Linked DNA regions of Notamacropus eugenii. The protein of the gene in region 1 interacts with the protein of each later gene in a pairwise test. Links are inferred from orthologs where the notes say so. Each region holds a gene or a part of one and is shown in the gene's direction. Other genes may lie near its edges.

What was found.
Region 2: the proteins of SH2B1 (region 1) and INSR interact in binary tests that used the Homo sapiens proteins (3 or more experiments, as listed by UniProt). The link is inferred for Notamacropus eugenii from reciprocal best matches to the Homo sapiens genes SH2B1 and INSR.
Region 3: the proteins of SH2B1 (region 1) and NTRK1 interact in a two-hybrid assay, tested with the Homo sapiens proteins (2 studies listed by BioGRID). The link is inferred for Notamacropus eugenii from reciprocal best matches to the Homo sapiens genes SH2B1 and NTRK1.

What each region holds. Positions count from the first base shown.
Region 1 is NC_092872.1:46,581,886-46,585,629, reverse strand, and holds the start of SH2B1 (SH2B adapter protein 1), read left to right. Parts: upstream 1-945; 5' UTR 946-2,247; coding exon 2,248-3,291; exon of another isoform or gene 3,292-3,501; intron 3,502-3,649; coding exon 3,650-3,744. UniProt on the Homo sapiens protein: Adapter protein for several members of the tyrosine kinase receptor family.
Region 2 is NC_092875.1:51,122,185-51,125,928, reverse strand, and holds the start of INSR (insulin receptor), read left to right. Parts: upstream 1-1,428; 5' UTR 1,429-1,721; coding exon 1,722-1,812; intron 1,813-3,744. UniProt on the Homo sapiens protein: Receptor tyrosine kinase which mediates the pleiotropic actions of insulin.
Region 3 is NC_092873.1:381,127,321-381,131,064, forward strand, and holds the start of NTRK1 (high affinity nerve growth factor receptor), read left to right. Parts: upstream 1-1,436; 5' UTR 1,437-1,459; coding exon 1,460-1,680; intron 1,681-3,744. UniProt on the Homo sapiens protein: Receptor tyrosine kinase involved in the development and the maturation of the central and peripheral nervous systems through regulation of proliferation, differentiation and survival of sympathetic and nervous neurons.

The sequences.
Region 1 (3,744 bases):
CCCCAGCTGGGAGGTGGGAATTCTTTCTCAAGGTCACCTCAGCCTTCCCACATCCCTCCTCCAGGGGGCGCTGTCCTCTTCTTCCTAGAACGAGAGAATCCGGCGCTCTAGGAGGCCACCTGACCTCTCTGTGACCTCTAGCCGGCTGGAGGAGGCGCCGTCCTCTCTCTGGTTTCACGCTCCCCTGCCTCTGTTTGGGATACTCTATCGCGAGGCCCCGTCTCTATGGTCGGTCGGCCGGCCAACCTCCGTCCTCCTTACGGAAGATGGCAGGGGAGGTCCTAGTCTAGACTAAGCCATCTCGGCGGGACGCCTCAGGGGATGTTCCACCCTGAGGGGCGAGTGGTGGAGACGCCCGAGTGTTCCCAGCGCCTCCTCCTCCTCCGCATGAAGAGCCCCTATTCCTACACCCTGGGAGAACGGTCTCTATGATCCCCGTGCCTCAGGAGGAGGAAGTCGGCGGGGAACGTGCCTTTCTCTCTCCGCGGGCTTATCTATGGTCTTTTTTTTTCCTTGATGGGAAAGGGGGTCCCGGCGCCTGCGCAGTAGCTGGCTGGTCGCTGGTCACTGGTGGTTGGGGGTGGGGGGGGAGCGGGAGCCGCCGCTGCTGCTGCCGCCGGAGCAAACCGCGGGGACCGAGATGCAGGTGGGACCGGAACCGGAACCCCCCTCCTCATTCTCCTCTCCCCACTCGGACCCTCCCCCCTTCCCCGGGCCAGGGACTGGAGGGAAGGCCGAAGGTCCCGGAGCGGGGCCGGGCTCGGAGGCCGGGGGCCGGGGCAGCGCCCCGAGGGCAGCGCCCCCCGGGAGGCCGCCGGAGCGGGCCGCCATGGGCGGAGGGAAGGCCGGGCGCTCCCCGGAGCCCCCCACCCCGGAGGCGCGCTGGGGCCTCGCCGCCGCAGGGCCAGGGGTCGGGCTCGAGGAGCTGCGGCGTCTGGGGGGACCCGCCTGGGGTGAGGGCCCCCCGCGTTGGTGCGCCGTGCGCGGGCTGAGTGTGGGGGCGGGAGGCCTCCCTCCTTCCAGGCCGCTTCCTGGGGGTGGCTGTAAAAGGCCCCCAGAAGGAGAGGGAGGAGGCCGCTCTCGCCCCGCCTGGTCCGCGGGGGGCCGGCCCCCCGGGCCCTGCTGCCTCCCTGTGGGATCGCGGTGATGCTGAGCCTGGGCTCGCCCAGAGCTTCCCGTCCTAGCGGACCCTGGCCAGAGCCTGCAGCCCCCTCGTTGGGGGTGTCAGGCCCCCGTTGTCACCCACAAGCTGGGCTTAGGGGCGGCAGGCGTGCCTCCCTGGCAGGCTGGCGTGAAAGTCAGGCGGAGGACCGTGCGTGTGCGTGTGCAGTAATAACGCGCTGCGGGAGAGCCGCTGTGGGTCCGGCAGACATTTGTCTTAAAACCCTTCCTAGCCTGGGCACCCAGAGATGCTGTCAGTCCGGCCTGGACAGACGCGGGACTCGGGGCTCCCGGTTCCCAGCCTGGTTTTTCCCAGAGTCCAGTGGCTGGGGGCTGGGGGGCCAAGGGCCTGGGTGCCCGGGTGCCCATTTTCACAGCTTGTCTAACCTTTAGCTCCTTTTGCTTTCTTCCATTCTTAGAGAAGATAGAAAACGGTTCATCCCTGCCTTCTCATAGTTCCTTTTCTTCTTGTGACTGAGGGCAAGGAGTAAGGCAGTACTCCACATTTTATGATAGAAGCTACTGAGCGTTTGATAGAAGGGCAGGTGGGAAGGTGTGTGGGAAAGATGCCTTCAAGGCAGTGCCCTCCTACCACAATGCTTAAAATGCCAACGAGTCTTAGAGAGAGAAGCAAGGTGGCAGTCATCTACCTATTGCTGACCTGTTAGGGCTCCTTGGAGCAAGATATTAGATGGATTTATTCCTGAGAGAGAGGTGATTGGAAAGGAAGCTTTGTATCTCTAAAGGGTTTTTTTGTGGAGGATGATGACCAGCTTACCTTTAACTCTTCTGGGATCAAAGCCAAAGAATGTGGGCTGAGATTACAGGAGGAAGATGGAGGTTAGCTATCTGGAAAAACCTATCAGTGCTTGAGAGGTGTAAGAACCTGGAATATGGGAAGGAAGCTAACATGTTTTGAAGGACTTTCTTGAATCTCTCTGAATCAGAGAGGGACGAGGTGAACAGAAGGTAGTGTGGACAAGTGGATGGCTTTTCAGTGGGGTTGGAACAATTGGGGAATCTCTGGTACCTGGGGAAAGGTCTAGAGATGGTTCTCTATAAGCTGTAATCCTAATACTACTATATATGTGCCTCTTTTTCCCTTCCACAGTTGCTGCAGATGACCCTGAGTCTTCTGGCCTCCCCCCCCACTTCCTTCCCTCCCCTGGGTCCCCCATTCTCCATTTCATCTGGCTCATCATGAATGGTGCCCCTTCCCCTGAGGATGGGGCTTCCCCTTCTCCTCCCCCTTTGCCACCACCACCACTACCACCACCACCTCCTCCCCCAAGTTGGCGGGAGTTCTGTGAATCCCACGCTCGAGCAGCAGCCCTGGACTTTGCCCGACGCTTCCGCCTCTACTTGGCTTCCCATCCCCAATATGCAGAGCCTGGGGCTGAGGCAGCCTTCTCTCGACGTTTTGCTGAGCTCTTCTTGCAGCACTTTGAGGCAGAGGTGGCCCGGGCCTCAGGTTCCCTTTTGTCATCTGGTCCGATCCCCCTGAGTCCTGGTACGGAAACTCCATCTCTGGAGAGCTGCAGGAACAGTGGGCCTCTGACTGTGTTGGGTCCTTCTCGATCCTCTGAAGACCTGGCTGGCCCTCTCCCTTCTTCAGTCTCTTCATCCTCCTCAAAACCTAAGCTGAAGAAACGTTTCTCCCTCCGCTCTGTGGGCCGATCAGTACGAGGCTCAGTCCGAGGGATCTTGCAGTGGCGGGGAGCTGGTGATCCCCCCTCTCCAATGGGACCCTTAGAGACCTCTGCCTCTGTGCCACCTGTCCTGGGTGGAAACAGCAATTCCAACTCCTCTGGTGGGGGTGGTAGCACCAATGTGGGGCCAACTAGTGGTGGGACATCCCCTGGGGAAAGATGGACACACCGCTTTGAGAGGCTGAGACTAAGTAGGGGAGGGGGACCCTTAAAGGATGGGGCAGGGACAGTGCAAAGGGAGGGACTACTGAGCTTCATGGGAACAGAGGAGGCAGCTGTTGGTGGAGAAAGTCGAGGGGGAGGTGGACCTGGAGCCTCATCTGGGGGTGGGGGACCACCAAGGTGGCAGAAGTGTCGCCTGCTGCTTCGGAGTGAGGGGGAAGGAGGAGGAAGTCGGCTGGAGTTCTATATCCCACCTAAGGTGAGAGAGAAGGGGAAGTGTGACTGGGGAGAGATGATGTAGAAGCCTTGCAGATAGAACCCCAGAAGGTTGCAAGCCTATGGGCTTTTCCTTTTTTTTTTTTTTTTTTGAAACTTGGACCCATCTTGCTAACTCTTGACATTTGTTGAGTGTCCAGGACTAGGCTGGTGATATCAGCAGTCTTTCTGCCACCTCCACATTACTTACAAGGTAGAGCAGGGAGCCATTGGGCTTGTGTTGACAACTCTTTGGTGAAGTGGGAAGAGTGGGGAGGCCAGGTTCCCCCGCCCCCTCCCAGGAAGTAGAGGACTGTTTTTGAGCCTGAATATTGGGACTCCTACCGCCTCTTCTACCACAGGCATCCCGGCCCCGGATCAACATCCTGTGTTCTACCATCACAGATGTCCGGACAACCACAGCCCTGGAGATGCCCGACAGGGAGAACACCTTTGT
Region 2 (3,744 bases), on another chromosome or scaffold:
CTGAGGACAATGAACTCATGTTCTCCCTTCCTAACAGAACTCCCTTCCTGGAGAGCTGCTAAAACAAGCGACAGAATCAATGAGTTATTTTGCCTCACATGTATTAAGTACCTTTGTTTTCAGAGCCTGGTGTTACGCACTGAAGGAGATACAAACTGGGTAAGATACCATGTGCTTCCTCATGAAGCTTATGGTTTAGATAGCTATAACAAATATTACATATGGATTACAAAGGTTTGAGACAAATATTTATGTGAGGAGAAGATATTACCAACTAGGTAATGGGGAAATGAAGGAAGACTTCCTGGAGGAGATGTCTTTATGAGTTGGACTTTGAAGGATAGGTAGGAATTCAGCAGCAGAAGGGCAAGAAGGACGAAGGGGTCATTCCCTCTGAACTCTTATAGGTCTTGTTCTGAGATTCAGTCATAGAACACAGAACATAGAATGTGAGAATTGGATGTGATCTGAGAACACAGATTGTCAAACCTGTGAGGGACCTTAGATCATAGAATGTCAAGAAGTGTGTATGTGTGTGTGTGTTGGAATACAGAATGTCACAGTTGGGAGGGACCTTAGAACATAGAATGTCAAGAACTGGGAGGATTGTTGGAACGCATAACTGGAAAGGATCTTAAAATATCGGCTGAGCTAGAAGAAAACTTAGAACATAGACTAAAGAAATGTCCTTGGGAAACCCAGAATGTCCGAGAGGGAATGAACCTTAGAACATAGAATGTCGAGCTGGAAGGAACTCTAGAACACAGAACATCAAAGCTGGCAGGGTCCTTAGAACACAGATCTTGAGGGGCCCTTAGGTTATCGGATGTCATGAACCTTTTTCCTTTCACCCCACCTTCTCCGCACCACCTCCGGGGGCTTCCTTCTCTCCCCCTCCTCTCCTGCTCCCCCCCTCTCCTCCTCTCTCTTCTCCTCTCCCCCACCCCCGCCTTTGGCTCCGCCCCACCCCGCCCCTTTCATCTCCCTCTTCCCCTCCCGCCCCCGCGCCTCTGGGGCCCCCAGCGCCCTCCCTTCCAGCCTTCTCCTGTTCCGCGCCGTCTTTTCCAGCGTCCCGGCCAGGGCCAGCCCAGCCCAGCTGACGGGGCCGCTGTGTTTACTGGCCAGACTCGAGCGGGGAGCGAGGAGCAAGGAGCGGGGAACGCTGGTGCCTGCGGGGAAGGGGCCGCCGACGAGAAGGAGGGGACAGGGCCAGAGCAGGGGCCTGGGGGGGCCCAGCACGCGGCCGAGGCCCGCTCTCCAGGGGGCAGTGCCCAATCCGCAGGCGCGCCGTCCAGCCCCGGGCAGCGGGGGGGTTACGGGCCTGGGCCGGGGCCGCGATCTCCGGGGAGGGGGCGGGCACGCGGGCGGGGCGCGGGGCTGCTGCTGGACGCGGCCCAGCCAGCGCGGAGGAGGGGGAGGAGGCGGAGGGGAGGAGTGAGGTGGCCCCGGCCCACGCCCCTCCCGGGCCCCTCTCGTGCCCCCGGGCGGGCAGCCCCCCACCCACATTTCCTGCGCGGGGCGTTTAAAGGACCGTGGGTACGGCCCGCCTGGGCCCGCGCTGCCCTTCCCTGCCGTGCTCTGCCCCGCTCTGCCCTGCCCGCCCGGGCCGGGATGGAGCCCGCCGCCCCCTGCTCCCGCCTGCCCCGGGCTCTCTGACCCACCGCTCGCCCCCCGATCTGCCGCCGCCCCCCGACTGTCAGTCGGTCTGTGTCCCCAGGGCCATGGGGGCCGTGCGGCCGCTGACTGTCGGGCTGCTCCCGCTGCTGCTGCAGCTGCTGCTGATCACTTCGTGTGGCTTGATCTCCGGAGAAGGTGAGTATCTTCTACTACTAGGGTCTCTATCCCTGAGCCCTGGGTCCGAGGGGCCCCTCAGAGCAGCCCTACACGCTGGGGCTGCCACGGCCCGGTCGAAGGGAGCTGACCTTGGCCCCTGACCTCCCAGAGTTCAGTCACAGGTCTCTCCGGGGGGCCCCAGTATGAGGATCTGTCCCAGCCCTAGGATTCAGGCAGGTCCAACGTCTCCCAGGTTCTGTAGCTCAGCTTGGGCCACCTTGGCTTCCTTCCTTTCTGTCCTCTGTGAGCCCCCACTGGGGGTCCCCTCAACTCTGACCCCCTGATTCTCCCTATCCCCGACCCTTCCTGGGTGTTCTGGAGCAAGATCTAATCATGGCCTCCTTCCACATCTCGGTACCGTCACCTCCGACATCACCACCGCTTTGACCTGGTAGAGATGGTGGGGTACTAATCAGTGATCGCTGAAGAATACTTTCCCCCCTTCTCAATCTCAGGAATGTCTGCCCCAGGAGTAGGTCCTGAGGCTCTTCAGGAAGGTCTGGCATTACATTTAAAAGCCAGGATTTTGCCTTTCTCCTCTGGGAATCTCTGAGCCAATGGTCCTGAGAAAAGCAGCCTGATGAGCCCTTCCCACCTCCCCACCCCCCAGCCCCATCCCTGTGTGTTCTTTTCAGGGTTTTGTCTGTGGTTGTTCCCAACTCCAAACTGCTGTGGGAGGGGCGGAGGCCCAGCCTGGGTCAGTTATAGGGGAGGAGATGGTTTGGAATGAAGTGAGGGGGTTGGCCAGGAGGATCTCTTAAGGTCCCAGTCTGGCTCTGATATTGTAGGAGCCACATGGAACCACAGACTTGCAGAACCAAAGGACTTTAGAGATCCTTTTATTGTTCAGAAAGAGAAACTGAGACTCAGAGAGCCAGAGACCTGCCAAGGGTGACACACAGAGCTCCTTCAGAGAGTAGCTGTCTGACTTGCACTCCAGCCTTCCTTCACTGTCTGCTGAGACCTGCTAATTCTTAACCCTAACAAAGGAACTTTAGCTTTGTTCCTTCTCTTGTTTAAAGTTTCTTGCCCTGGCTGATGATCAGGGTCTTCCCTTGTAACATTCCATCCCCTGGTTTTCTGATAGATGTAGAACAGTGCCTCAGGAAAGGGCTTCCAGCAGATGTCTGGGCAGGAACTCAGGAGAGATGGAAAGGCTTGGTTAGGACAGTACTTTGGCTCTTGGGCCTGTTTGCTCTATCTTGGGGTGGGCGGTGGGGCATCTGACTCTCAGGGCCTTTACAGGTGCTTTCACATCCTTAGTTCCTGGCTTGGAGAGTTTGGGGCTTCTCAATGAAGTTGTTAACCCAGGGGAGCAGCAAGCAGCAAGAAAGACAGTGAATGAGGAGCAACTGCTCCCCAAGATTCACAGGGGCCCTCTGAGGAATTTCTAAGGCCCTCCTGACTGAGCTGGGATTTATTACCCTTTCATTATTTTTATTATTATTGAGAATCATCAGAGCTCAGATTATCTGAATGTGGACGGGGAGAGATCTGTTGTCTCTTTTTCAGGCACCATTGATAGCACATTCTTATCCTTAAATCTGGCAGAAATAATGTAAGGGGGAAGAGGACCTTCTGGGTTTCAGAACAATGAGGGATGTCATTTTTCTTCACCATTCCACCTTGCACATGTTCTGGGGCTTGGAAATTGTCAAGGATCAAGACACCATCCTTTGTTTCACAGAGCTTCGAGTCAGAAGCCTTAGGTTCAGATTTCATCTCTGATGCTTACTACTTGCAAGTCTCAACCTCCATGGGCCTCATTTTCCCCATCTGTAAAATGAAGGGGTTGGATTAAATGGCCTCTGGGATCTCTTTCAGCTCTAGAGCTAAGAGAAATTTAGTGCGTTGATAAATCAAAGAGAAGCCCCAAACATGGGAGAAGGTAATTATCTCTATCTTTGGGTC
Region 3 (3,744 bases), on another chromosome or scaffold:
AATAAATGCCTTTTGACCGACTGACGTCATAGAAATATATGGAGAGGCAACCTCCAAATCGGGAAAACCTGGATTCAAGTCTCACCTCCTTCCTATACTGCTGCTTGTGTGACCCTGACCAAGTCAGTTAACTTCTGAGGACTTCCAAGTTATTCGTCTAAAACTATATATACATCGCAAAGGGGTTGCTGATGTGCCTTTGCAGAGGGAGTTTCTTCATCCGGGAGTTCTTAATACAAATAAAATCACAGATCAAGTTCATATCTTTACCCTAGCCTAAAAGCATAAACACACGCGCCTCTGGCGCCACCCCGTGGCCACTCTAAGGAGAGCAAGGCGCGTGCCCCTCCCAGATGTAGGCGCCGCTCAGATCTGACATTTGCTGATGGTTTTGGGGAGACCTCTTCCCTACCTCTGCCTCTTCCACTTTGGTATCTCCTCTCTCGTTTTCCTACATTCTCACCTTAATGCCCCTTACCTCCAGTGCTCTCTTTTCCTTTCTGCGAAAGATCTCCGAGATAATTTTGTCCCGTGCTCAATAAGTGATGAATCCACGACCCCTACTCACCCCCAAATCCATGGGTCATTTGAGACAGAGGACGCCTAGGATGATGACAGAGGCATTGGGTTTCTGTCTTTTCCCAGCCCAGGAATCCCTGTTGAGGTGCAATAATGCAGTTGCATCTTGGGTGGGGAAGCAACAAGCTAGCTTCCCTGCCTGGCCTTGTTAACCAAAAAGAGCTAAGTCCACAGAAAATTATTTACATGTCCCAGGAATACGTAGGTGGAGGCACCCCTGGAGGAATAATAACCCCTGGAGGGGAGGACATAAGGGGAAAAGGCAAGAGCTGGGAGGGGGGGAACCTAGAGGAAGAGGGCATGTAGAGGAGGGGAAGGGGTAAAGGGAAACTGGGGGAGAGAACAGAAGTGGATTGGTATACTGTGGGGGGGAGGGTGGATATTGAGGGAGAGGGGTGGGGTCTGGGGTCACTGAGGGGTGGGGAGGAAAAAAGGGGTACTGAGGGAGGAGGCAAGACCAAGGGAGAAGGGTTAGGGGAGAGAAGGGGGCCAAAGCATAATATGGGAAAGGTGGGGGGCTGAGTGGTTATAGGGGGACAAGGGCATGGACTGGGAGGGGTGATGGGAAAGAGGAGGGGGCTGGGGGCATTGAAGGAGAGATGTAGGAGCCTGAGAGACACTGGTGAAGGGGGCAGGGGGCACAAGAGAACGGACAGGAGTGGGGGGTGGGCATAAAGAGAGGGGAGAGGGCTGAGGAGTACTCATGGAGAGGAACAGAGGCTGAGGGATATTGGGGGAGAGGGACAGAGCCAGCTCCTCCCCTTTAAGACGGCTGTCCCTTTAAAGCAGCCCCGTCCACATGTTGGGGGTGGGTGGGGGGAGGTTGGGCTGGGAGCAGCTGGGTGAGTGCAGTCAGGCTGGCCGAGGCAGTGAGGGGGAGATGCTCAGAGCCGGGAGGAGCGGGCAGCTTGGCAGGCAGGGTTGCCCCTGGGCCCTGCTAGCCTGGCTGCTTCTGGTGCCTTCGGGCATTGCCCACTGCCCCCATGCCTGCTGCCCCTTTGGCCCCTCAGGGCTGCTCTGCACGAAGCCAGGAGCTCTCACCAGCTTTGGCTTCCTGACAAGCTTGGAGAACCTGACAAGCTTGGAGAACCTGACGGAGCTGTGAGTGCCCACTGGGCATTAGGGATGGGCATTGGAGAGCTGAAGCTGAGCAGGGGGGCTGGGGGAGGCATGGACTTGAAGCTTCCCTGGCAGGGTGGTGTGGCCAGCAGGTGGTCCCTGGTACTGAATGGGGAGAGAGACTGAAATTTCTGCTCCCTGTAACCCAGGGATCTGGGTGCTGCCCCTTCAAGCCTTGTGGGCACTCCTGTGGGCACAGACTAGTGGGGTACCTTGTAGGGGTAACTTCTTTTTTCTCCCACATCTTGGGACTTTCTTCTGGGAGCCAGGGTTGGAGTGGGGAGCAATGAAATTTTCCAACAGTAGAATTTTTTAAATTAAACTTGTGCCTAGAAACAGTATTCTACCCCCACCCCCTCACTCTAGGGATTCCCAAGCTGGGCACAGACAGGACTCAGTAGGGAGTAGAGGATGCTCTAAGAGCTGATACCCCAGCCCCTGCCCCTTTTCCTTGGGGTCCTCTCAGTCACCATCCCTCTCCCCCAGATCCTCTCCTTTCCTTTAGCCTCTTTCTCATCTAGTATTTGTCTTGTCCTACTTCCCTTTAGCCCCCTGCCTTTCTCTCCAGATGTTCCCCCAACCCACTTCTCCTCTATCCTGGTGCCCCCTCCAGCCCTCTGATCTCCTCTCTCAGTGCCCCTCTCAGTCCCATGCCCTTTTCTCCATATCTTCCCCTTCAGTATCCTTCTAGCCCAGTCCCCCAGTGATTCCCTGAGCCCCTCCCCAGCTCCTCTGCTCTTATGCTCTGGGCAGCTCCAGCTAATGCCAGCTTGTATATGGCCCTATTCTTCCCTAGTGACACTACCCAGAAAAAACTGGGGAAAGCTTGTTGTTTTGGTAGGAGACAGTTCATACGTCTCAGTGCTTGGGGGATAGAAGGGAAAGGGTCACTTCTCCACCCCACCTATTTTAGAATCTGAGGGCCCTTGTCCCCACCCCTTCCTTGGGAATGACTAGTGATCCCCTGACTTCTCTTGACAGCAGTGAAGTAAAAGTGCTTACAATGGGAGAAGGATGTTCCCAGCCCTCTCCTTGGGGTTCCTTTCTCTCTCTCTCTCTCTCTCTCTCTCTCTCTCTCTCTCTCTCTCTCTCTCTCTCTCTCTCTCTCTCTCTCTCTCTATCTATCTCTATCTCTCTCTCTCTCTCTATCTCTTTATCTCTCTCTCTCTCTTTTCCTCCCTCCCCCCAATTACCTCCTTATACTCAGGACCTAGATTCACAGCCTGGAGAGGGAACCAGGCAGCTGACAGAAAGTAAGGCCTAGACTGAGTCCCCGAAGGAAATCTATGGAGAAGGGAAGGAAGGAGGAGTACTTGAGGTGTCTGCAAAAGCAGCAAATACACGCAGTAGTAATGGACTGGAAAAAACTCCATTTTGGGGGCAGCTGCTAGGGGTGGGCGGTATACTCGTCCATCACATAGTACATGAGATATATTGTTGAAAAATATCCGGCCATGATTAACTGGAATGTACTTGAATATTTTGTAGTGACTATTTTTTAGTGTTTTATTTTGTAGTTGGGGAGGAAATTCCCTAGCATATGGGAGGGTTTTCTGAGAATGTCCTTTAGAATTGTGTGGCATTGTAAACACGGGGAAAGTACCCTGACATGCTAGAAGATGCCCTATATTCTGTAGTAACTGTCTGGAAGTTACTCAGATAACTGAAGGGATAAGCAGGGAAGCCCAGCAGCAGTAATTAGCTGGAAAATACTTGAGTATTTTTTGGTAACCCTCCATAAAGGTGAAGGAATGAAGGGGAGAGAAGGAAATGGAATCTTCTACCTAGCCTCTGCTTTAGCATCGTATTTACCATCCTGCATCTCTAGCCAAGGGTGGGGAAGAGAGGGAAGGGAAGGAAGCACTTACTGTAGCCAGGACTCACACAGTGATAGAACCTAGAATGTAAGATCCAGAAGGGCTCTTAAAGATAGTCTAGTCAAATATCCCCATTCTACAGATTAGGAAACTGAGGCCCAGAGGAAGAAAACAAGTTGAGTAAGGTCACACAGTAGTAGAGTTCAGGATTTGAACCCAGTCCTGACTT